Linked DNA regions of Arabidopsis thaliana. The protein of the gene in region 2 interacts with the protein of the main gene of each other region in a pairwise test. Each region holds a gene or a part of one and is shown on either strand. Other genes may lie near its edges. The genes, in order: UMAMIT27 and IRX15.

Region 1 (18,556 bases), on a different chromosome or scaffold from region 2:
ATATGATTACCTAGTTGGCTTTTGTGATGGAGACCAGAAAAAGCAGATGAGTACGAAAGATATCTATATGCACTGCCCTTAGTCTGTTATGGAATTATAAATCATCAAAGGACTGAAAGTATTGTTGGTTTCTTTATTCTTACCTTAAGCTTGTTAATGGTTGTCAACAAGGACCTGAAGATCCACTGAACACAGCAAGTTTCCAGTATAGCCCAAGAGAGCATTTTAAGAGTCATTTTCTCAAAGTGTTTAGCCAACGAGAGTGATTCGCTTATAACAAATCATAGCACACCAAGAAGCATCCTGAATGTTATGCCATTAGTGGTAGGCTTTACTATCCAATATCCACAAGTTATGAACAAAAGTAAAAGCCGAGACAATGCTTTCCTCGCAGAAGGAAAAGGTTATCACCCATACTGTAACCTCCACAGACCTTGTACCAGCGAGATAGGCGAAGTCAAAGTAGCAGTGGAGTCTTGAAACTTGGAAGCGTAAAGAGCTTCACTGTCACCGGGAACATAGAGACCGTTGGCAATTTTCGTAAATCTCAGCATCAGTAGTCTTGATCAAGCTCCCGATCAAAACAAGGAAAATTGCAGAAGACCCTAAACACTGGTAAGAGCTCACTCACTGCCACTGGTAAGCTTACTTCACTCGCTTAGAGAAGAAGAAGAAGGCTCGTGTCTACTGTGTGTGGTTGACCCGGGTCCAGTACTATTCAAAAAGTTCACACGTGTGTAGAGTTAGGGGTATTATAGACATTTCATCGTTTTATTTATTTTTACAATCTAGTAGACTGATTCATAAGTCAAACTGACAAATCGACAAAGATGTAGGTAATTGTGTAAGTAACCTACTAATATAAGAGAGATCATATCCTGATTTTAACAAGGCAACTTGATTGTTTTATATATTAGAGAATTAGGGTTATCAAAATTAGGGTTTGGAAAATGTTGGCCTTGCGCCGAATGGTATCATCAGGTTCTCTTCATCTATGGAAAAGAGAGATGAAGATCTCTACGCTTACGAGAACAATGGCTCCGTTTTCTTCTTCTTCTGCTGAGATTAAGATCGCGAGAACGGCTCCGTTTTCTTCTTCTGCTGAGAACAAAGGGAACAGGCAGATCAACGGAGCTTCTTCTTCTGCTTCCTCTTGTGATGCTGAGAATGCAAAGAGTGGTATTTTCAAGAAGCTGAGGTCTCTTACCCGAGAGACCTTAGAATTCATCATCGCGGAGGAAGAGAAGAAGGGTGTTCCCGTCACCCAGGCGGATCTCGTCAGCTCGGCAAAGCAGCTTACATGGAAGGCAAACATGTAGATGCTCTCCAGGTATCTTTCTCATCTATCTAACTTTTGTATTCATCGCTCTATTTCTTTTCTAGTTAGAGATCATTGTGTTAGGATTTATGAAAGTTTGTTTTTTTGGTTGTTGTTAGATCTTTATGTGGATGCATAGAAAGGAGATGAGTTTCTCTACCTCTGAGGTTGCACTCTTTGTGGATATCATTGGTAACACTATCGGCATAGCTGCTGCTCACTCCTACTTGAAGAAAGTAGACCCAAACTGCGACCAAATGCACAATCGTACCGAGAATTGGCCTGCTTTCGTGTCTCTCGTGAAGTTGGAGACTAAGCTGTTAAAGGAAAACGGGATAGTTCACGCTACTCGCCCTCCCAAGTGAATGATTAACTATTAATTTGGTCTGTGTCTGTGTCTGTGTGTGCGCGCTTTCTTATGTACTCTTTGTCTTCTCTTTTCATTTCATCTATTGTCGAATACCTTTTCATGTTATAAGCCTCTGAATTTATTATGTATCTCTTCTTAACTGGGTGACCTCTTCATGTTTTGCTTTGAAATAACAATAAGCCTTTGAATTATGTATATCTCTTCTTTACTGTGAATTAATCCAAGTAGAATAATATACTACTCTGCATAACACTAATACAACTGGTCTTAACTTTAATTAGGAATTTCAAATCTCATTTTGAATGCATCGACGTTCTTTCATGGCATGGCTTCCTCCATTTTTCATATAGTGCGCCTCTCGATGTTATTAGTTTATATATCATTTACCAATGGCACTTGTGAACTTTTCGAAAAATTACAGTCCATATCACATAAAATTACCCTTTCAGACTGTTTTAGCAACACATTGATACATTTAAAAGCAACACACACACAAAAAAAAAAAAAAATCCAAGAAACAGAGGTTTTGAAACTAAGAACAATAATACGACACTAATATTTAATTTTGGTCTTCGTTATTCATTAGAGAAGACAATGTAGTTATGCTTCCATATCTTTGTTCTTACCCCACAAGAACACGTAGAGACCTGTTATTGTCCCTACTGATCCAATCAGACTGTGTAGCAAAAGTTAGAAAATAAATTTTTTAATTAGTGTTATGATCGTGGACCTACATACATTTACATATATAAAGCTATTTAGAAACGAATTTAATTTCATTGAGATGATAGAAGAGAGTACCTTCCGAGGTATAAAGGAGTGTGTAAGATTATGAAATCGAATAGACTAGCCGAAATGAGAGCTATTGGCATAATTGCTGATACGAAAACAGCTCCTAATTTCTTCACCCCCCATGTCACTGATACCGTCGACATTGCTTGTCCTATCACTCCCTATAAGGTAAGAGTTGTTTATCCAAGTTATAGTATTCAATTTTTTTGATAACATGCATGAGATTGTCTAGTAATTATTTGTATAACAGAGACTAAAGAAAAACATTACTAGTTAAATTTGTAGTGGTTATTGAAACAGAGAATTTTCATCTGAAGATACCGAAAGTTGCTACTTTAATTTGATTAATATAAAGGTAATTCCCAAAATTTATTTATTTATTTAAGTTTTTACATATAAAATCTGTAATTTATAAATATTCAGATTTATGAAGATATAACACTAGAACTTACAGCATATACGATGACACCGATCACAAATCTATCATCGATGATCCAATCTTTAACATCTCTACTCTTGTAAAGACTCAATAGAGCACATTGAAAAGCTGCGAAAATTGACATGAGACAAGTGCTTGAGAATTTGCAAGGGTACTTGATGCTTAAAGTCCCTTGAAACAAAATCCATAGAGATATCAACACGGTTCCTATGGTTAAGTAGAGACATCCAAGAAGCCAATTCTTTGTGTTGTGATCGCTGTTGTTGTTGTGAGGAAGAGCCTCTTGGTGAGAGTGAGAGTTTGATATATGAGGGCCTTTGTAAAATGTTAAGAACAAAGCTCCACTTATACATATAATAGTTCCCATCACTTTTATCATTCCTGCTTGGGTTCTTAGACTTTTTATCTTTTCAGTCCTGAAAAGATATGTAATTTTATATGATAATTTAACACAGTAAATGTTTTTGTCCTTACGTTACAAAACAAAAAAAAAAAAACAGGAGAAAATAGGAGTTTAAATCGACTTAAATCCAATAATTTACGTGTGGATGCTATAAATATATTTATAGTATCCAAGGCCTATTTGGCTCATTCCAAATATTAAACATGAAAAATATGTAAGATGCTGTTGAGTATTACTATAAAAGTATTATCTTTGATGAAAAAATTAAAGAAATTTTATATGTGTATATATTGTATGCATAAGATAGTAATTACACGGACCCATTATATAGATAATTTATGAGTAAGGTTCTTTTGAGTATTTCTATATATAGAAGTATAATATGCTTGATGAAAAAACAAAAGAAATTATATGCACTGTATACATAACAAATACGAATAAATCCTGCATGAACCCATTGCATAGTAATAGTAAATACAGTACTTATTTTAATGATAAAGAAGTTAGATGGTTCCATAATTACCTCAAAATAAGAGCGAAAGCAAAGGTGATTGCAGGCATCAAGCTTACCAAAGCACACGCAACAGTTGCTGACGTGTAAGACAGACCAAGCAAATAGAAAAATTGCATCAAACTCGCCCTGCAAATTTAAACCCAAAACTAAGCTAGAATTAAAAAAAAAAAAAAAGCTTATGATGAATTTTATGCTACTTGAGAGAAAATAATTCCTATGTGGAAAGGAAATTGAAAATGGACGACAAAAGAACATAATCAAATATTATGTTGAGTTGAGAAGACAAACCCGAGCAATCCACTGATGAAATGATCGACCATTAGCCTAAACGTTATTTCCGGTATTATTTCCCTGTTAACAATAAGACGTAAATTTTAGGAAAAAATGTCAATAATTAAACTTCATATATTAGTAACAAATACTAGTTTATATTTATTTCATGTTAAAGTAGAGCATTCTCACAATATTCGCCAAAAAAGTAAATAACTTACTATTTCATCAAAAAAATCAAACCTTTCCAAAATATAGGCGATAGGAGCCAGAATGAAAGAGGAAATAGCAATTCGATAAGCACCAATGATCATATGGTTCACACCAACATCAAGAGCTTTCTTCACAAGTGCATTCACCGAACCCATTGCTACTTGTGATATTACCATTACTATTATCGGTGGCCATTTTGATTCTACTTTCACTACTCGCATATCCTCACCCATCCCTCTCTCGTCCTCTCTTTCTTTCTATGTCATTTGGTGTATGTGCGTTAAAAAGAATTGAAACCCAATGTGCTTTGAGTTTGGCAACCACAAACCTTCCTCTATATATATAAGAAACATGTGTGTATGGGTTCTCTAATTCTAATAGAAAAGACCCTGAGTTGAAGAATTGTTGTATTAACTTAGTTGTCTTTCTATCAAAAACATTTTTTACAAAAAAACTTAGTGGTGTCTACTCGAGTTCATTTTAAATAATATTAGAATCTTGTTCCGCATTATGTGTGAAAAGTAAAAAAAAATAATAAAATTTTTTTTTGTCAAAATATTTAAATAGTTTGAATGTTCCCACCCACACAACTAGCTAATTAATTTGTATATATTTTTTTGTTGTTCTGGTTAAGACTAATCTAAAAAATAAACTTTATTTTATATAAGATAAGTGTTTGTGAGGAGGGAACAAAGCACAAACCCGAGCATATTCTTATTGAGTAATGGATTAAATCGTTAGCTTTAAGTTTAAGAAGTTGTCGCAAATATAATTACTGCGGTAAAATATTTTTTATTTATTTTTCAGGTCAGTGTTGCGATATATACATGACGATTGCCTTTACTGTATTATTTTTACTTTTATATTTAGTAGAAATGCATGAGACACCGATACATTGGCTTTTATCACACGTTCCATGAGACACCGATACCTTAGCTTTCCATTCTATACGTTATATGAGACACCAATACATTGGCGTTATCACCCGTGTCATGCAAATGAAGTAAAACAGTGTCGGTATAATCTATACTTAGTGTAATCTAATGACACATAAACACTAAAGTATTATACTGAATTCCCCATCTACGATGACCACGTCATATTGAATTCTGATTCGATATGATGGGAAAAAGTTATCATAATTATATGAGATTTTTGCAACTCTCATTCAATAATTCTCCATTTTATTGTTCCCAATTTGGATTCGATCCCTTTTACGCTCTGTCCTTTCACTGGATCCATGCAGTACCTCGTTTTTGTTATTTATAATGCACATAATAATTGTTATACATTTCAATATAGAAGTTAATGAAAAAAATTATACTGTATTAGTATATAGTTGTTTCTCCCCAATATGGGTATCGAAATTTTGCCTTCCTTTATTTTGTCCGTCGAACTTTGTAGGGACAAAAAGCAGATGCTATTCTAGATTAAGGTAAGGCTTAGAAAAAATGGACGGGGCATTTTCACTCCAGTAGTGCATAATATATATACAGTAGTACTAATTACAATTGGTCTTTATTTTTTCTAGACCTTAAATTCTTACTGTTTTAGCAACAGGCTACAAACTCAAAACGCAACACATTTAAAATCAGCACGAAAATAATCCAAGAAACAGAGCTTTTGAAACTAAAAACAATATTACGAGGCTCTTTTAACAGATCTGTTGTGAAATGTTTTGATATATCATATATGCTTTATATTGGTTAGTTTTGAATATTATAACAAATCTGTTTTGTTATCTCTTTACGAAATTATAAATCTGCAAACGAAAAGTATGAATTATACAAACTGCTTGCACAATTTGAATCTGAATATTTATGACTGGTCTTTAACGTGAGTGTGCTTGCACAATTTAAATCTAAATATTTATGACTGGTCTTTACGGTAAATGTATTCAGTAGTAAATACTAATTTACGACAATGAAGCCATATGAATCTTTCTATGACAACAATATTATTTGATTAAATGGGCGACCTAGACTCGTTGATCTTCGTTGTTCATCCGAGAAGACAATGTAGTTATGTCTGCTTCCGTTTCTTTGTTCTTACCCCACAAGAACACGTAGAGACCTATTATTGTCCCTACTGATCCAATCACACTGTATAGCAAAAGTTACAAAATAAATTGTAATTAGTAATACGAGCATGAACCTAATACATTAACATCTATAAAGCTATACAAAAAATTTCATAGAGATGATCGAAGAGAGCACCTTCCGAGGTATAAAGGAGTGTGTAAGATAAGGAAATCGAATAGAGTAGCCGATATGAGAGAAACTGGCATAATTGCTGATGCGAAAACAGCTCCTAATCTGTTTATTCCCCATGTCGCTGCTACAGTCGACATTGCTTGTCCTATCACTCCCTATAATACGTGTATAGTAATAAGGTAATATTAGGTAAACCCCAAAATTTATTTAATTATTTACATATATACTACATTATAATTTATAAAAATGTTAAGATTTCTGATAATATAGTATTATAACTTACAGCATATATTATGACACCAATCACAAATCCATCGTCGATGATCCAATGTTTAAGGTCTCTACTCTTGTAAAGACTCAATAGAGCACATTGAAAAGCTGCGAAAATTGACATGAGACAAGTGCTTGAGAATTTGCAAGGATACTTGATGCTTAAAGTCCCTTGAAACAATATCCATAGAGATAGCAACACGATTCCTATGACTAAGTAGAGACATCCAAGAAGCCAATTCTTGGTGTTGTGATCGCTGTTGTTGTGAGGAAGAGCCTCTAGGTGAGAGTGAGAGTTTGATATATGAGGGCCTTTGTAAAATGTTAAGAACAAAGCTCCACTTATACATATTAGAGTTCCCATCACTTTTATCATTCCTGCTTGGGTCTTTAGATCTTTTATCTTCTCAGTTCTGAAAAGTAATATAACCTTTTAGATGATAAATTTGAGATAATTTATGAGTAAGGTTCTTTTGAGTATTTCTATATATAGAAGTATAATATGCTTGATGAAAAAACAAAAGAAATTATATGCACTGTATACATAACAAATACGAATAAATCCTGCATGAACCCATTGCATAGTAATAGTAAATACAGTACTTATTTTAATGATAAAGAAGTTAGATGGTTCCATAATTACCTCAAAATAAGAGCGAAAGCAAAGGTGATTGCAGGCATCAAGCTTACCAAAGCACACGCAACAGTTGCTGACGTGTAGGACAGACCAAGCAAATAGAAAAATTGCATCAAACTCGCCCTGCAAATTTAAACCCAAAACTAAGCTAAGATTAAAAACAATTTAGCTAGCTTATGAAGATTTTATGCTCACTTGAAAGAAAATCTTTCTTCTGTGGAAACAATCAATGTATAATGGAAAAGGAAAATGGAAAATGGACGACAAAAGAACATAAGAAATTGTGAGAAGACAAACCCGAGCAAACCACTGATGAAATGATCGACCATTAGCCTAAACGTTATTTTCGGTATTATTTTCCTGTTAACAATAAGACATAAACTTTAGGGGAAAGAAAATATCAATCTACTTCATATATTAGTAACATGTAGTGGTGTTTATTTACATGTTATAATAGAGCATTCTGACAATCTTCAATTGTAGTAAATGTTGTTAATTATGTAAATATGAAAAAACTATTTTGATATAATCAAATTTTTGAAAATTTTGCATAAGAAAAATATATAACTCAACTATTTTCATCAAAATATCAATAAACCTTTCCAAAAAATAGGCGATAGGAACCAGAATGAAAGAGGAAATAGCCATTCGATAAGCACCAATGATCATATGGTTCACACCAACATCAAGAGCTTTCTTCACAAGTGCATTCACCGAACCCATCGCTACTTGTGATGTCACCATAACTATCATCGGTGGCCATTTTGAGACTACTTTCACTCCTCGCATATCCTCACCCATCTCTCCCTCGTTCTCTCTTTCTTGAATTCTATGTGAGTTTGTGTGTTAGAAAGAGTTAAGACCCAAAGTACTTTGAGTTTGGCAACCACCCTTCCCATATTTATAACTTATAAGAAAGAGTACTGTGTTTGGGTTCTGTCATTTTAATAGAAAAAACCCCTGAATTATTGCTCTATTATATTAACTTAGTGGTCTTTCTATCAAAAATAAATAAATAAAAAACTTAGTGCTGTCAAGTTCAATTTAAATAATATTAGAATCTTGTTCCACATTATGTAAAATTATAAATTACAAAATAGTTCAAATATTTGAACAAGTTGAATGTTCCTACACACAACTAGCTTAATTTTATTTACTTTTCTGGTCTAAAAAAACTTTCTTTTTATATAGGATAAGCGTTTGTGAAGAACAAAGCACTACTACAAACCCGAGCATATTATTAACTAATGAAAGAACAAAATTAGTAGGATACTTAAGTTTAAGAAGTCGTCACAAATATAACTGCTCATGCGGTAACAATCTTTTTTTTTTCCGGTCAATATGTGTATATTTACTGTTATATTTATTTATTTATTATATAGTAGAAATGAGAACCGATACATTGGCTTTATCACACGTTTCATGAGGCGCCGATGAATTAGCTTTTCCATTTTATACGTTATATGAGTAAATGAGAAACCGATACATTGGCTTTATCATGCGTGTTATCTGCCGCGCACCTTATTAATTAGCAAAATGATTTTCATAAAAGAGAGTCGGAGAGATGATGTAACTGAGTTTAGTGAGAAAAAATAAGTCATGCAAACCCGAGCTAGTTGGTATATCTAAATCTATACTTCGTGTAATCTAATGACACTTAAACATTTGTAATCTAATGACACTTAAACACTTGCATGCCCGTCTCCGTCTGGTCGTATAGGTTCAAGTTTGGGTTCTTTACTTTCAATTGTAATTGGACTGACTCAAGGATTTGTTGAATTTGGTGCAAAATAGGAAAAAACACGAACTTTTCAACGAGATAAACTAATCATATGTAGTAAATAAGTACTATATGAGATTTTGCAACTCTCATTCAATAACTTTTTGCGTGCAAATTTGTTTTGTGCCCATTTTGAATTATATTCGATCCATTAATTATTCTCTTTTGTCTTTTCATTGGATCCATCTTGTTTTGCACTATCTCGTTTTTGTTAATTATAAATGCGTATAATTAGCTCTATATTTGAACTTTTAAAGTTGATGAAAAAATTATATTATCCCCATTTGGGTATATCGAACTCTTTCATTCCTTTAGTTTGTCCATATAACTTTGTAGGGACAAAAAGCAGATGCTATTTTTAGATTCAGTAAGTTATCTAGAAAAGGCTTAGAACATAATGGACGGGGCATTTTCTCTCCAGTAGTGCAGACATATATATTCCTTCTACTAATTAGATCAATTCACCAAATATAATAACAATTGAGTTAGTGGTTCTAATGATGTTAAATTTTTTTTATAAAAAAGTTGTCACAAAAGAAAAGTTAGTGGTTTTGACTTAGTTCTAGAATAAATTTACAAGATTGGTATATAATATATTCTATCTTTTCATATTAAATCATATCTAAAGTTTTTCACATAAATTAAGAAATAATAAAAAAAATATTTTGTTTATTTTATATATATAAATTGTTAAAATAAAACTAATTCAACTAGTAAAAAACATATTCTATTATATAAATGGTTACAATCAAATATATTTAAACTTTTGAAAACATCACTTGAAATAAGATAAACAAAATTCTCTGGATCATCATTTAAAACAAAACAGAGAAAGTATTCGATGAAATTAAAACAGTATAACCAACAGCTCAATAATTATTATACTTTTATAATTTTTTTTATTTTTTTTTGAAAAAGGGTTTTATATATGGTGAATTAATCTGATTATACTACATATAACTAAATTGGAAAGGGATAAGAATAAAAAAAAAGAAGTAGACGTCTCAAAACAAAGTTAAGCCTCCATGACGCACATGTAAAGCTTTCATCAATCATTTTAAATTTTGTTTTAGTTAAGAAGTAGCATGTCATTGAACCTTATTAATATCGCGTGTAAATACGGTATTTTGTTTTGTTTTCTGTATTTGCATATTGTCTATACGTAGTACAGTTTTGAAAATTCCATATACTTACATGCTCAGGTAAACAAGTTATACATCCACAAAAATAATTTCTGCAAAAAAGTATATTTACACATAATTTATTAGTCAACATGTTAACGTCTCAAAAGAGTTTCCAAAAACACAAAAAAATGATATTCTTTTGAATCGGGTACTAATTTTCATTTAAGATAATCAAGAACCCCCATGGTGTTCATTGTTTGTTATTACTTATTAGAGTGTTCTTCAACTTCAGCTAATTCATCTTTATCGTTGACTTTTCTACTTCTACAATTTCTTCTGCACTTGTACTCACAGTGATAGATATTAGATATACCATGATACAATTCTTTCATTTATTTGGTGTTTTTCACAAAGAAATGTATATATACCAATAATAATTACGATGGATACAGTAATCAATTATCACATCGAGTGTAGTATTTAAAGATTTTAGATTTTAAACAAACGTGTTAAAGAGAATGTTACAAATAGAAAGGTTGAAGATAGATTTTGCGTGCGACGTTTTATTATTAAGTAACCCCTCCTCGTTATACAACAGTAAATCTCATCTCTTGTGTAACAGATACTAAAAAATCAGGTTCATCAATAATCAAAAGAATGTTGTTCTTACCTCACATTGACACAACTGATGATAACTAGGGTTGTTAATACATCCGGTAACCATAAGAGGAGACCTCGAACTGATTTCTTTCGCTCCGATTCTCGTAACCGTACGGATATGAATCCCCGAAAAGGTGATCGGAAGTTGTCTTCCACGGATCAGAATCGTTGCTTTCCCAGCAAGAAACAGCAGCCCCACGATCTTGTTCATCTTCCTGACGTCTTTTGTTACGTAACACACAAGGAAAGTAACCTCCAAATATAACCTCACAGAGATCGGTCGCTTCTAATCCGTAACCAGACGGAACATACAAAGCTTTCACTTCTCCTTTATCTACGACTTCATATTCCTCATTTCCATAGCTTGAACTGTGATCTTTTTCTTCTTCTTTAGCTTCCTCATCCCCTTCTTCTTCTTCTTCATCATCATCATCACCATCATCTTCGTCCTCACTTTCTTCATCATAATCTTCGTCTTGTTCTTGTTCTTGCTCTTTAATGGTTTCTATTGGTTTGACTTCTTCTACCGGTTCAGCAAAAGACACACGTTTCTTGACAACATTCTTTTGACCACCATCATAAATTCCAAGAGGAACAGGAGCAATAATCTCAGGAGGAGAGGGAGCTTTAGCGTGAGGAGCGGTTGAACAAGGGTAACAAGTTTCCACCGATGGAGGAAGAGGTTTTCCATAGGTTGCAACAACATCGTAGCCACCACCGTACGGCGTGGGATCGTATTCATCGAATTCCGGCTCGTTGAAGTCAAGAGCAGAGGCTACAGAGCAATAGATACTAAACTGAGGAGGAGATTCGTAGGTTGTATAGAGATTCGGATCATAGAACAAGTGTTTAGGCTCAGACATGGTAGAAACAGAGTAAGCAACATATGCAGAGGTTGTCTCAGACTCGGATCCATTCCAGTTATAACAATTATAACTCATTGGATCATCATAACCAGAGTAAGCAACATATTCAGATTCAGATTCAGATTCATTCCAGTTGTAATAATTATAACTCATTGGTTCGAAACCAAGCTGCTGCTGCTGTTGATTGTAATGATAATGATTTTGATCGTAGAGATTATTAACCTGATTGTAATCGTAAGGACTCTGGTAATTCTCATAGAAGTTGGCCATTTGAGAGAGCTTGAAGGATGATCTTGAAAGTCTTTCTCTGCGGTTGATGAGAGAAAACGATTCAGCTGAGCAGTGATCTGTCGATTAAACTAATTTGGAATGTTTGGTTCCAAGTCCGTGAGAGAGTAGTGTATTATTTCCATGTGATGTGTTGATAAGGTAGGGACGACTGATGTAGATGGTGAGTTGGTGACGAGTGTGTGACCCTACAATTGTTTTGTCTTGTCTGAAATTGGTGTTGAGAAAACGTGGGGAAAAAGCAGTGGTTGACAAAGAATCAAACCAAACCAAAACCGAACATTACCTAAATAAACAAATGGTTCAAGTTGAATTTCATCCTAACATAACAATAGCTATTGTTCAAGGTGTGATGATACAGTATCATCATTTGGTACTAGACGATTTTACACACGACTTCAACAAGCTAAGTGCTAACCAAAAGATCAAAACTTGCAAACACTCCATTATCTTATTATAGTTTAAGAGGAATCAGAGGCTGCTGGTTCTTGTCTTGGTTTCCTCTGTTCAGGAGGTGGAGGACCGTCTCTTTTTCTTTCGTATCTCTTACTTTGATACTTAGTGTTATTGCGCTGCTTTGGTTGGTATGTTGGGTATGTGCACGGGATAATCTCTCCATTGATGTACTTGTCGCCTAAACCCGAGAAAGAACGATTCAATTATCAGAACATGGATACTGGGAGAGAGAGAGATCCTAGAAAGTTTAAAATCAGGCTTTGATGGGTTACCTCCATAGTCTTTGTTCTTGACATCTATGTAGGAGTCAGGCAAGACCCAGAGAACTCCAGGCAAACCTGTGAAAATAATGAAAAGACAGAACGATCAGTATCTTGAAGGTTTTCGACGAACTTTCAATAAGGGGACTAAGGCTCTTCTTGCTCACTAACTAACCCTTGAACTTCTCAGATGTTTCTTCGTCGATGGTGCATTGGAATCCAGTATATGTCGTGGTACTGAATGCATACATGTTCTTCTTCGCCTCTTCCATGCTGGAAAATAGACACAAGTACATATAATAAGCAAACACGATGAACTGGTTATGCTGGAAAATGGACACAAGTACATTAATTGGTTATCACATCAGCAGGATAGTGTAAACCGGAATCAAAGTTCTCTAAAATAGAGAGTAGCACCAAATAAACTAAAGTTTTAGTCATTAGTTGTGTAACACAAACTCGTTCCCTGCCATACCAAGAAATTTCTAGTCAGGAGTCCCAATCTAATGCTCTGCACAATTGTACACTCCTTTTACATACATTACTAGCTTACACTGTCCACATCAAGTTTTTAACAAACAGAAACCATGCACAATCACCTACAATTTATACATAGCTTGAAGAAAATATGCAAAAATAGATGCTTCTATTCTTCCCCCTAATTTCATTCATAATTACGCTAAAGAGCACAAAGTTTTAGATATCAAATCAGACACCAATGTTTTGTGTTCAATATGCAGCAATGTTCAATAAGTTTGCACATATCAAGAGACGAAAAACAAGTCAGCTAAAGATTACACCTGATATTAAGAACAAATTCTGGAACTAGGTCAACTTCAGAGCAAATTTAAAGCTGAAAGCTTTACTCAGCTCACTAAACCCTTACCCTAAAGTATCATCAAAAACCCTAATCTAACAAAAAACCAAATCTTCCTATACGCAACATTGGATTCAATCAAAGGACAAGTCCATTAGCAACACAAGTAAATGTCGTCTATTAGTTAACTAATTCAACAACGAAGAGAATCAATAAGAAAGCGAAAACGAACCTGCCAAGAACAGTAGCAAGAGTGTTAAGGTAAGTATCAATCATCTGATCCCTACTTGGCGCTGGATCTTTAGGAAACTCCATTACAATGAGCCAATGATTGTAATCGCAACCAGGAAGCATAATCGTCTCTCTCTGCTCATTGCTATTGCTCCGTTTCGACGAGTAATCCGAATCCACCGTCGCAGCTTTCACAATCGCCACTCGACGCCGAGACCCAGCGGTGGAGATGTTCCGGAGCAGAGGAGTCCATGAATCGCCAACGCGGATACCAGAGAGTGTAGAGAAACGATTCAGGTGGCTTACGGGGAGAAGAGTTTTGAGGAGAAGCGAGGAAGAAGAAGTTGTTGTGAAGGAAGCCATTGCAATTGCTGAAATCGAAGAGAGAGTTTTGGAGAAGATAAGATATATTTTTACTTACCTGCTTCGTGATGAGGATCCTATGAAACGACACCGTTTTTAATTAGGCCCATTAGATAGTTTGGGCCTGATAATTTCTTAAATCATTTTCTCATAATTTCAAGCGCCAAAAAAAAAGAAAAGTAAATTGGGAAAGAAAAAAAGAAAACACACTTTCCCCGATGTGTATCGTGAATATCGACACTAAGCACAGACACAGTAGCACTGTGTTTTGGTTGCAAAAAGTCTCCTTCATATAATCATATCTATGGTTTTCGGGTTTCAGCAGAAAAGTCTTTTTTTAGATTTAGGGTTAGCAGAGCAAAAATGAGCCGTTATTAGTTTTCATTCAAGGGTTTTTGAGATGGAGCAGATGATATTCATTAGAAAAGACGACAAAGTAGAAGTTTTTTCTGAAGAAGAAGAGTTAAAAGGGTCTTATTACAGAGCGATTCTGGAAGATAATCCAACGAAATCAGGACACAATAAGCTTAAAGTTCGTTACTTGACGCAGCTCAATGAACACCGTTTGGCTCCTTTAACGGAATTCGTCGATCAGAGGTTCATTCGTCCTGTCCCGTCGGAGGATGTGAACGACGGCGTCGTTTTTGTAGAAGGCTTGATGGTCGACGCTTATCTCAAAGATGGGTGGTGGACTGGTGTGGTGGTAAAAACAATGGAGGATGAGAAGTTTTTGGTTTACTTCGATTGCCCACCAGACATTATTCAGTTTGAGAAAAAGAAATTGAGGGTTCATCTTGATTGGACCGGCTTCAAATGGATCCGACCTGATAATAAGGTATGATGAGTTTTTTTTGAAATCGTTTCGCCTTTGCATGAAAAAGTTGTTAACTTTATCCGTTGTTGTATGTTTGTTTTTTGTCTTTGAAGGAATTGGTCAAGTCTGTTTTTAGTTGCGGGACAATGGTGGAATTGAGATTTGATTGTGCTTGGATTCCGGTAATTGTCATTAAGGAGTTGGAGAAGGACAAGAGGTTTCTTGTCAAGTACTGGAATAAGTCCTATAGCTGCCGGGAATCGAAAAATTTAATTGTTGATTCCCTAAGACTAAGGCCTATGCAGCCTCCTTTATCTGTTGGAAAGTATGAATTGCTGGATCATGTAGAGGCGTTTAGTGGTTTTGAATGGCGTCAAGGTGTGGTCAGGGGAATTGTCTTTGAGGGAAGGTACATGGTAAGTTTCGGGGCAACAAAGGAGGCATCGCAATTTAATCACTCTGATATTAGGCCTCCAATGGAGTGGGAAGATGGAGTTTGGCATAAAAGAACAAAGGTAAATTGTATCACTAGTTGCAGGCAACATTGTGTTGGTTTGGTTTAATTAGTGTGACATCTTTGAGGATTAATTGAAGTGTTGTTATGTTATTTCCATTTTCAGCCAAAACGCCAGAAAGAAACTTCTTTAGACGGCAACAGAAATGTGCAGACAAAGGAACCACCGGGAAATGAGATGGCTGATGATGTGGTATATGGTCATAACCCTGCTAGTGGATTCTTTTATAACCTTGTTTGTTTTCTACGCCCTGAAATTGTTCTATGGTCTTTGTTTTCCAGAAAAAAGAATCTGGTTTACCTATAACCCTGGGGGTAACTGCAACAAAGAACAAAACCCAAGGAAAGGTATCCCCTGTGCCAATGAAGAATGGCTTTGGAAATGAGTCAACTCGAGAGAAGGTATTGTTTATGATTGTTATTTATCTTTGAGATGGCTCTCCTTTTGGTTTAACACTTCTATGCACAGATGCCTGAGGAGCCTAAGATCAAATATTATACTCGAAAGAGGAAAAGAGGAGGTCTAAAGCTCAATTCATACATCAATAAGACTGGTATGTCTTAACTCTCATTGCACATTCTGGAATGTAGGACCCGCTTGCAATGGTCTCATTGTACTATTACTGGTAGATAAGCCTTTATTTTCTCATTGTGTTGTGTATGCGTTCATCTGTCCAGTGTTATCCTCGGATCGGACCCCCAATGTGGTGAAGAATTCTGCTTCTAATGCTGAGGAAAACCATGCAAAACACACAATAATGGTTTTGCCTTTTGCAAAGAAGTCACCGGTCTGGAAGACTTATGAATCACTGGAGGTCTTCAAAAGTGTATCACACAGTCTTCATTTCAGCCCATTGTTTGAGACTAAGCAAGATTTCCGTGAAGGGTATGCAATAGGTATGATGGTGACTTATTTTGGGTTACTGGAGAAATTTAAAGATCTTGAAGCCGACGTTCCTGTAAGCCAACTAAATAGCCTTAAAGATTCATTTTCGGAGCTCGAGAAACATGGCTTCAATGTTACAACTCCATTATCACGGATCGACAAGCTGTTAGCACTCAAAGATAGACAACTATATATAATGGAGGAACTAAAAGGTTTTGACAAGGAGATGACAAATGAATTTAGCAAGGCTAAACAAGAGTTTGATGACATGGAACAAAAGATTCTTGAGGTGAAACACAAGATTATCGAGCTGCAGAGGCAAGAAGCTGCTCTAAAAGAACAAAAGGAAGCAGAAAAAGAACAGAAAGATGCAGCCTGGAAAAAGATATGTCAGATGGAGTCATGTGCAAAAGATCTCAATGTAGAGCTTGAAGATGTGGAGTTTGAGTTTGAGACAATTTTGTCGGCTCCTTGGTAAGTTAAGAAAAACAAACCTATGGTGAGCACTTTCTAAGTTGATTTAAAGATTTTTATGAGATCATTATTAATATGGTTGGTTAGTGGTTGATAAAAGTCGGGTTATGTAGAGAAGAAATGAAGCTAACCATGTAATCCCCTGTATAATGAGGCTAACTTTTCTTTTCATTAGGTATTTGTAAACTTTATACAAATAAGTTTGCATACGCTTTAAACACATAATTTTCTATATAACAAGTATTACTATAAATTGATACCTATAGTCTTCTTAGATTATAAAGAAGAGGAATACACTTCTTAACGACCTTGAACATCGGTGAGAGTAACGTCGTTAATAGTACTGCTGGTTTCTCCGCTGGGCCAATTATCTGAGCTGCCGCCAGTTTTGGTGTTTCTCCTCCTTCCCGCCGTAAATGCAGGATGCTTCGGAGATGGAAGATCAATGGCGTTATGACCTAACATGAAGACAACAGAGGACATGTCTGGTCTGTCTGAAGAGTTTTCTTGCACGCAAAGTAACCCAATGTGTAAGCACTTCATTACTTCGCCCTCATCATACGTCTCTTCACCCATTAATTTGTCTATGATCTCTATAGCTTCACCATTTTCCCATCGATCCCAAATCTACAAGACGAAGAAACAAACGTTTGCTTATGTTCTGTTTTGCTCCTCTGTATCCCCAAGTTATGTCAAAGAAAGGAAGAAGTTTTTACTTACATGTTTGACTAGATTCAAAGATTCCTCATAAAAAGCACTGTTTCTCTTTCCGGTTATGATCTCTAAGATCAATACTCCAAAGCTGTATACATCGGATTTAATAGAGAACTGGCCGTCCATTGCATACTCTGGTGACATGTATCCACTGTGACAGTGAGATTGAAACGACCTTAAAGATTGAAAAAAAGAAATTGGAGAGTTTTGTGGGGATGGATTGATATAGTAGATTAACTCACTATGTTCCGACGACTCGATTTGTGCTTCCTTCGATTTGGTTGCCTCCGAAGATTCTAGCCAGGCCGAAATCCGCAATCTTCGGTATCATTTCATTGTCAAGAAGTACATTGCTGGCCTTAAGGTCTCTGTGGATGATCCTCAGCCTTGAATCTTGATGAAGGTATAAGATTCCACGACCAATCCCGCGGATTATCCCCATTCTTTTTGGCCAATCCAACTCTGCTCTTTGCTCTTCATCTATGAGAACAACAAGGAGGAAAACAAAACAGGAAAGCAAATTCGAAGTCACTGATCGTCCTGAATGGGAGAAGTTGAATCTATAGAGGAAATGTTGAAACGTACGGAATATGAAATAGTCTAGGCTCTTGTTTGGTAAATACTCGTATACCAACATCTTCTCTTCAAATTCAACACAACATCCTAAGATCCTCACGAGATTTCGATGCTGCAGCTTCGATATCAACTTGACCTCGTTCTTGAACTCTTCCATTCCTTGACCTGAGCTTTTTGACAACCTCTTCACTGCTATTTCCATACCATTTTGTAACACACCTTTATAAACAGGTCCAAAACCACCTGCTCCAAGCTTGTTTTGAAAAGCAAAATTATTCGTTGCTGTAGCAATCG
Region 2 (6,375 bases):
AAGAGGATGAGGAAGATTGTTATTTTGTTGTTTTGGGCTAAGAATACTAATGGGCTGTTAAGCTTAGTTAGGCCCAAGAGAGAAAATGTGTAATATGGGTTTAAATCTTAGCCAAGTACTTAAGATGGAATAGTTAAGTGTTGTTGGGGTTGTTAAGGTAAGGTTGTGTAAGGTTAGTGGCTAAGGTAAGGTTGTGTAAGTTTGCTTGCTTGCTTGTAACACTAAGGCTAATGTCTAGAGGTAAGGTAAAATAGTTGCTAAGTTTAGAGTCTAATAAGAGAATGGGTGTAGTGAGTAGAAGAAATCTAAGTATGCAATGTGTGTGAAGTTGTTTTGTACGCAAGTATGAATGATTAAGAGGGTTAAAACATTTGAAGTTGTTATATAGTCAAGATCATTGAATCTTTCGATTGCTCTTTTTGTATTTAATGGAAAAATAATTTAGGGATCGAGATTTGAAGTTTTGGGTTTTGAAAAACAATTATCAAAATGGACTAAAAAAAAACGCTCGATTTTTCTCTTAAGTTTTTCAGTTTAATTTTGCTTAAAAAGGAAACTTATTAATATTAATGTTTCAAAATTTTGTAATGAACTTTAATTTCTATTGTAACAGTGTAACTAGATAAAACCCGTGTAAACAGAAGGTGCAAGAAATAAATGCTATTTTAATCTATGATATGTTAGTTCTAAATCGTATTCAACACACTTTTTCTAGTTAATTTAATATTATTATTTTTTAATTCAATCTTACACATTCTATTTCGTTAATTTTAACTAAAAAAAAGATTTATTTTAGAATAGGTGTATCATGAATAACAAAAAATCGTATCTTAACTATAGCCAAGGAAAACAAAATATATATGAAAAACGAAAATGCTTCCGATCATCATTTTATATAAAAAACTAAATAATAAATAATTATTCACACACATAAAAGCATTTTAGTTTTGAGATATTTTGTTTTAGTGTTCAGCTTGAATGAATAAAATATTGATTTTGGTTCAAAAGTTCAGTTTACATTTGGTTATATATATCCCTAGATGTTTCATCAAATTGATTGCTTTGGCCTTTGAGAAAAAAAAAAAAAAAAAAAAGAGATTAAATTAAAGTCTTCAATAAATCCAAGATCGAAAATTTACACCAGCACAAAAAGCAAAACTTCAAGGAAAAAACTTTATTTCTTACAATAAGCAAATGTACGTATGAAGTCTTCTGGCATCACTTTTAAGACAAAGACGAAACCGAACGTTTCTTACGACCATTGCAAAACTTTGTGCTGTTTTTATCCATCTTATCCAACACGTAGTGTGCAAGCAAATCATTAGACTCAACAAGATTCTCTCGGCACAAGAACTCATCACCACAAAGCCTCTCAACGTCTCTATAATAGTCATGCACAAACACATGCGTCTTCGGAGTCCCGCCCTTTTTGCTCCGAGCAAGAACCGCCGCCGTGAAAATCGACGACATCCTCCCCGGTCCTTCGTGAGCATCGCCACGTGGCCCGTCCACAAAGATTACATCCCAATCAACATCGTAGACATGATTAGGCAAATCATTGAGACCTAATTTACAATCTGAGAAGAGAAGATTTTGCACAGGACGACACTCGTTTCCCGCGGCTTCTTTAGCCGCGGTGACGAGCTCTCCAGCTTCGTGAGCTTTTGTCGTGTATTGAACGTCGAAAACGTCGATCTCCGGGTGGATTTCTTCGAAGTAAGCCGCGTAGTAACGATTCTCCTCGATGAACACTGTTCTACCGTTGTGGTTTAACGACTTCCAAAGGAGAGTCTCGTGTGTGAGTCCGAAAACGAGAAGATTACACGGTGGAGCGCAGCGGCGGAGGACGTCAGAGATTGATTTCATCTCTCCGTAAGACATGTGGAAACTATCGTTGGATCTTGACGCGTAGTGAAGCAAAGCGTTGATTGCACTAGTTGGTAAGTTGGAGTTGGAGATGGGAGATGATGCTGAAGGTGTGGATCCTCCGGTGACGACTGCAGCTACGGCTGCGGCGACGGAGGTGTTTTTGGAAGGGATTGTGTCTCTAGTGTAGAGAAGAGTGAGGAGAAAAACTATGGTGAAGAAAGAGACGAAAGCGAGAAGCCATAAACGAGTCGTGCTCGTTTGTTTTTGGATGTAAGGATGAAGAAGGATTAGTTTTGTGTTCGTGTTCCCTGATCCGTTCTTCATTGTTCACTCTTCTTCTTCTTCTCGTTCCTCTGTTTTCTTCTTTAGAAGAGTTTTAGAGGAAGAAGGAGATTGAAGGATGGTTATAAGATTTCTCAAAGGGATAAAAATGAGGGTTGATTTAAAAGGAAGTAAGTAGTGAGCTGTTTTACGAAATGTGAGCTATAAGCAAAATTTTGTGTTAACCTAATAGAGCAATGAATAAAACATTGTGATGTACTATTTTTTACTAACGTTCTAGAAGTTAAAATCTTGGAAGTTAATTTCTTTTATTTTTTTAAAGAAGTGTTTATTTGGGAATCCATTTTTTCTTGAATTATTTGTTATATTTATATAAACGCAACGTATCAAAATGGAATGGTGGAAACTTTAAAATTCAATTTTCTTTAGGTTCTTAATTACTCGATTATGATTAAGTTAGTAAGCTGGAAACAACTTGGTTTGACGTCCATCGCTAATTCGCTATTTATGGATTTAATTGTAATTCATTATACACTAGTTTTTCCCCAAAGAGTGTATAGCTTTGTGAAACAAACCAAAAGTATAGCTTGATATTTTGAAAACAGAAATTAGCTGCAATAGTTTATGTAAAAAAGATATTAAAATATATAAACGATGATGTGTGAGGAGGTTGTTGTATGTCTAAGTAGGAGAGTTTTGGTCATTGCGAGAGACACAAGATCTAATTACAGACCAAAAGTCTCTATCCCTTATTGCTTTGGTTTAGTTCTTAAGGAAACAGACCAAAACAACGAGATACACACACGCACAGATTAAACATGAAAACAATTTATTATTTTATATAAAATAACAATTAAAAATCATTTCGCTGTCTTTGACTACCCATTGGATTGGGACATTGATAAGTATACATTATATAACTTATGTTCGTAAATTTTGAGGAAAAACAAACTCCGAAGAATACGTATTACAAGTTGCAGGGGAATTAAAAAAAGGAGTTAGTTCATAATCCCTTATTACTTTAAGACAAAATAAAACATATATTAGTTTGTATAATAATTATCAAGGGGAAAATTATACTTTCTACCACAATTCTAATCAAGTGAATCCAAATTTATTTGAATAAATACTATTATTGGTCATCTTTTAGTTACAACTTACAACAAATGAAAATCTAACAATTGCGATGATAATCAATCTAATTTTTTTTTTTCTTTCTCTTTTGTTCCTAATCACTTTATTGATAAGCTCCATTTTGATTCTCCTCACCATGTTTGCCTTTGGGCTAAAGTGCTTACCCTACTGGAGTATTGGTGGTCCTCATGAAAGACGTTAATAAGAACCCAATTATTAAATGTCGCTTATTCTGTTGAGAAAAAAAAAACAAGGTTTGGCCCATTCAAAATTTTGAGGTCAAAACCCAAAACACCTTGCCACTTGCCAAGCCCAATGCTACCCCTCCGATAAATGTAATCGCATAAATATTATTTTGTATGCCGATGGTTAAGAGATGATATTAATGCGTTGAGAAAGAACAAATGTGATATTAATGCGTGGAGAAGAACAAATGTGAACGTACGATGTCATTTTCTTTGTACCAATACAAAATTTATACAACTACGATCCAATTTTGTTAGGTATAATTTGCAAAACAAGCTATGCTTCTATCTCGTGTTCGTGTTTATTTTCATCTTGTCATTGTCTACTTATAGTCTTATATGTTATATTGTCTACCACAACAAATCATATCATATGAACACGTTACACATGGACGGTTTCGAAATACACATTAAGGGCCGATCGTTTCTTAATCTTTTGAGTTCTTTTATGTATATAATTCACTAAAATCGAGTTCATTTCATAATATCATAAAAAAATCATCCAACACATAATATACATACACACGCGTGCCACAAGATTAAACATATTTCAAAACTTTTCAGAATAATAACTGACACAGCTAGATGCTCTGCTCCGTAACACAAAAACACACACACAAAATGACACTCTTCTTCTTCTACTCTCTTCTCTTCCTTCTCCTCCTCCTCCGTATCTCCACCGCCTCTCTCCCGGCGACGAACTACTTCGACTCCTTCTTACCATCCGACGCCGTCGCACTTCTCTCCTTCAAATCCACCGCTGATCTCGACAACAAGCTTCTATACTCTCTCACCGAGCCTTACGACTACTGTCAATGGCGCGGCGTCGATTGCTCTCAAGATCGCGTCGTTCGTCTTATCCTCGACGGTGTTGGTCTCCGGGGAAGTTTCTCACCGGAGACTCTTAGTCGTCTTGATCAGCTTCGTGTTCTTAGCCTTGAGAATAACTCAATCTCGGGTTCGATTCCTGATCTATCTCCTCTCGTCAATCTCAAAACCCTAACCCTAAGCAAGAATGGTTTCTCCGGTACTCTTTCTTCTTCAATTCTCTCTCTTCGTCGGTTAACAGAACTTGATCTATCGTTTAACAACTTCTCCGGTGAGATTCCGTCGGGGATCAATGCTCTGAGTCGACTCAGTTCTTTAAATCTCGAGTTTAATCGACTTAACGGAACTCTCCCGCCGTTAAATCTTTCTTCTCTGATTTCATTTAACGTTTCCAGTAACAACCTCACCGGTTTAGTTCCGTTAACAAAGACTCTGTTACGATTCAACGCGTCTTCGTTTTCGTCAAACCCTGGACTCTGCGGTGAGATCATTAACCGATCTTGCGGTTTACATTCTTCTTCTCCGTTCTTTGGTTCACCTAAACCAAACACCACGTCATCAACATCTTCTGCTTCTTCGTCTGAAGCACCGGTTATTCAAAGTGAACAGAACGGTGAAGCAGCGATGATTGTTCCACCGGTGGTTAAAAAGGTTAAAAACGGTTGGTTAGTTCTTGGTTTCACCATTGGTCTCGCTTCTTTGATAGTTCTAGGTCTCTGCCTCGTCGTGTTCTCGTTGTTTATAAAAAACCGGAGAGAAGACTACGATGACGTGATAATTACGCAACCTAAGCGAGAAGAAGAAAACAAAGAAATCAAGATCCAATTTCAAACCACTGCGCCGTCGTCGAAAAAGCGAATCCCAAGAAACGGAGATTTGATATTCTGCGGCGAAGGAGGAGGAGGAGGAGAAGCAATGTACACAGTTGACCAGTTGATGAGAGCTTCAGCAGAGCTTTTAGGAAGAGGATCAGTAGGTACAACGTATAAAGCGGTGATGGTTAATCAAATGATCGTGACGGTGAAGAGATTTGCTCCGTCGAAAACAGCGATTACTAGTGATTTAGAGTTTGAGAATCAGATGGAGATAGTTGGTGGACTTAAGCATCCGAATCTTGTTCCGGTTAAAGCTTATTTCCAGTCAAATGGAGAGAGACTTGTCATCTATGAGTACCAACCTAATGGAAGTCTCTTCAATCTTATTCATGGTAATGTTCTTCATCTTCTTCTCCTCTGTTTCTTTTTCTCTTGGGAACGTTAGGGTTTTAGTTGAAGTCACTGAGTCACGTAAGAGTTGTTGCTTTTTTAGGTCTAGTTAATTAAGTAATTATTATGTTGGTCTCGATCATATTGAGGTGATACTATGATAGAGACCATTGTCTCCATTATAAAGCTGAAACCTTTGTCTCGTTGATGGGTTTTGGTGCAGCTTTTATTATTTTGAAGGAACTCTAGACTTGACCACATAGAGACAATGACGGAGTTTATGATTAAAATATGTTTTGTCTTTTTCTTTGTTGAACAACTGTAGATATAAGACAGAGAATCTGTTAGGAATCTGTGCTATTTTCACGTGAAACTCTAGTCATTTGTCAGGAATTTGGTGTGTTTTGTCTTAGGACTTGAGCTAGAGTGGCTTCTTGGTTGCATATTACTCGTTTATGATTGGAAGTGTATATAAACAAACATCCATTACTAAACTTATCATCTGAATCATCATAGTAAAAGAGTCTTTTCTTTTTTATCTTGTGGTTATTGATATGAATAGACTAACTAATGACTCTGTTTTATCCCTTGATCTCTCAATTACGTTTTCATAAAATCCAGGTTCGAGAACATCAAAGGCAAAGCCATTACATTGGACATCATGTTTGAAGATAGCAGAAGATGTAGCTCAAGCATTACATTACATTCACCAATCATCAGCCAAATTCCATGGAAACCTTAAGTCCACTAACATCCTCCTTGGTCACGACTTTGAAGCTTGTGTCACAGATTATTGTTTAAGTGTCTTAACA

The links.
Region 1: the proteins of IRX15 (region 2) and UMAMIT27 interact in a protein complementation assay, tested with the Arabidopsis thaliana proteins (one large-scale study listed by BioGRID).

What each region holds. Positions count from the first base shown.
Region 1 is NC_003070.9:3,843,001-3,861,556, reverse strand, and holds UMAMIT27 (nodulin MtN21 /EamA-like transporter family protein), read right to left. Parts: upstream 8,374-18,556; 5' UTR 8,241-8,373; coding exon 8,038-8,240; intron 7,800-8,037; coding exon 7,737-7,799; exon of another isoform or gene 7,563-7,736; coding exon 7,446-7,562; intron 7,216-7,445; coding exon 6,816-7,215; intron 6,688-6,815; coding exon 6,536-6,687; coding exon of another isoform or gene 6,511-6,535; exon of another isoform or gene 6,422-6,510; coding exon 6,298-6,421; 3' UTR 6,050-6,297; downstream 1-6,049. Other genes in the region: AT1G11470 (Pentatricopeptide repeat (PPR) superfamily protein), read left to right, coding at 1,035-1,179, 1,269-1,330, 1,438-1,683; UMAMIT26 (nodulin MtN21 /EamA-like transporter family protein), read right to left, coding at 2,289-2,364, 2,490-2,641, 2,933-3,335, 3,846-3,962, 4,125-4,187, 4,350-4,552; AT1G11440 (uncharacterized protein), read right to left, coding at 11,048-12,139; MORF9 (plastid developmental protein DAG), read right to left, coding at 12,619-12,791, 12,886-12,951, 13,049-13,146, 13,923-14,284; DUF2 (agenet domain protein (DOMAIN OF UNKNOWN FUNCTION 724 2)), read left to right, coding at 14,685-15,119, 15,212-15,613, 15,719-15,805, 15,895-16,014, 16,082-16,166, 16,291-16,976; AT1G11410 (S-locus lectin protein kinase family protein), read right to left, coding at 17,273-17,599, 17,693-17,837, 17,929-18,166, 18,272-18,556.
Region 2 is NC_003074.8:18,616,448-18,622,822, forward strand, and holds IRX15 (IRREGULAR XYLEM protein (DUF579)), read right to left. Parts: upstream 2,370-6,375; 5' UTR 2,194-2,369; coding exon 1,225-2,193; 3' UTR 977-1,224; downstream 1-976. Other genes in the region: AT3G50230 (Leucine-rich repeat protein kinase family protein), read left to right, coding at 4,116-5,565, 6,185-6,375. UniProt on the Arabidopsis thaliana protein: Required for xylan biosynthesis, but not directly involved in catalyzing the addition of sugars to the growing polymer.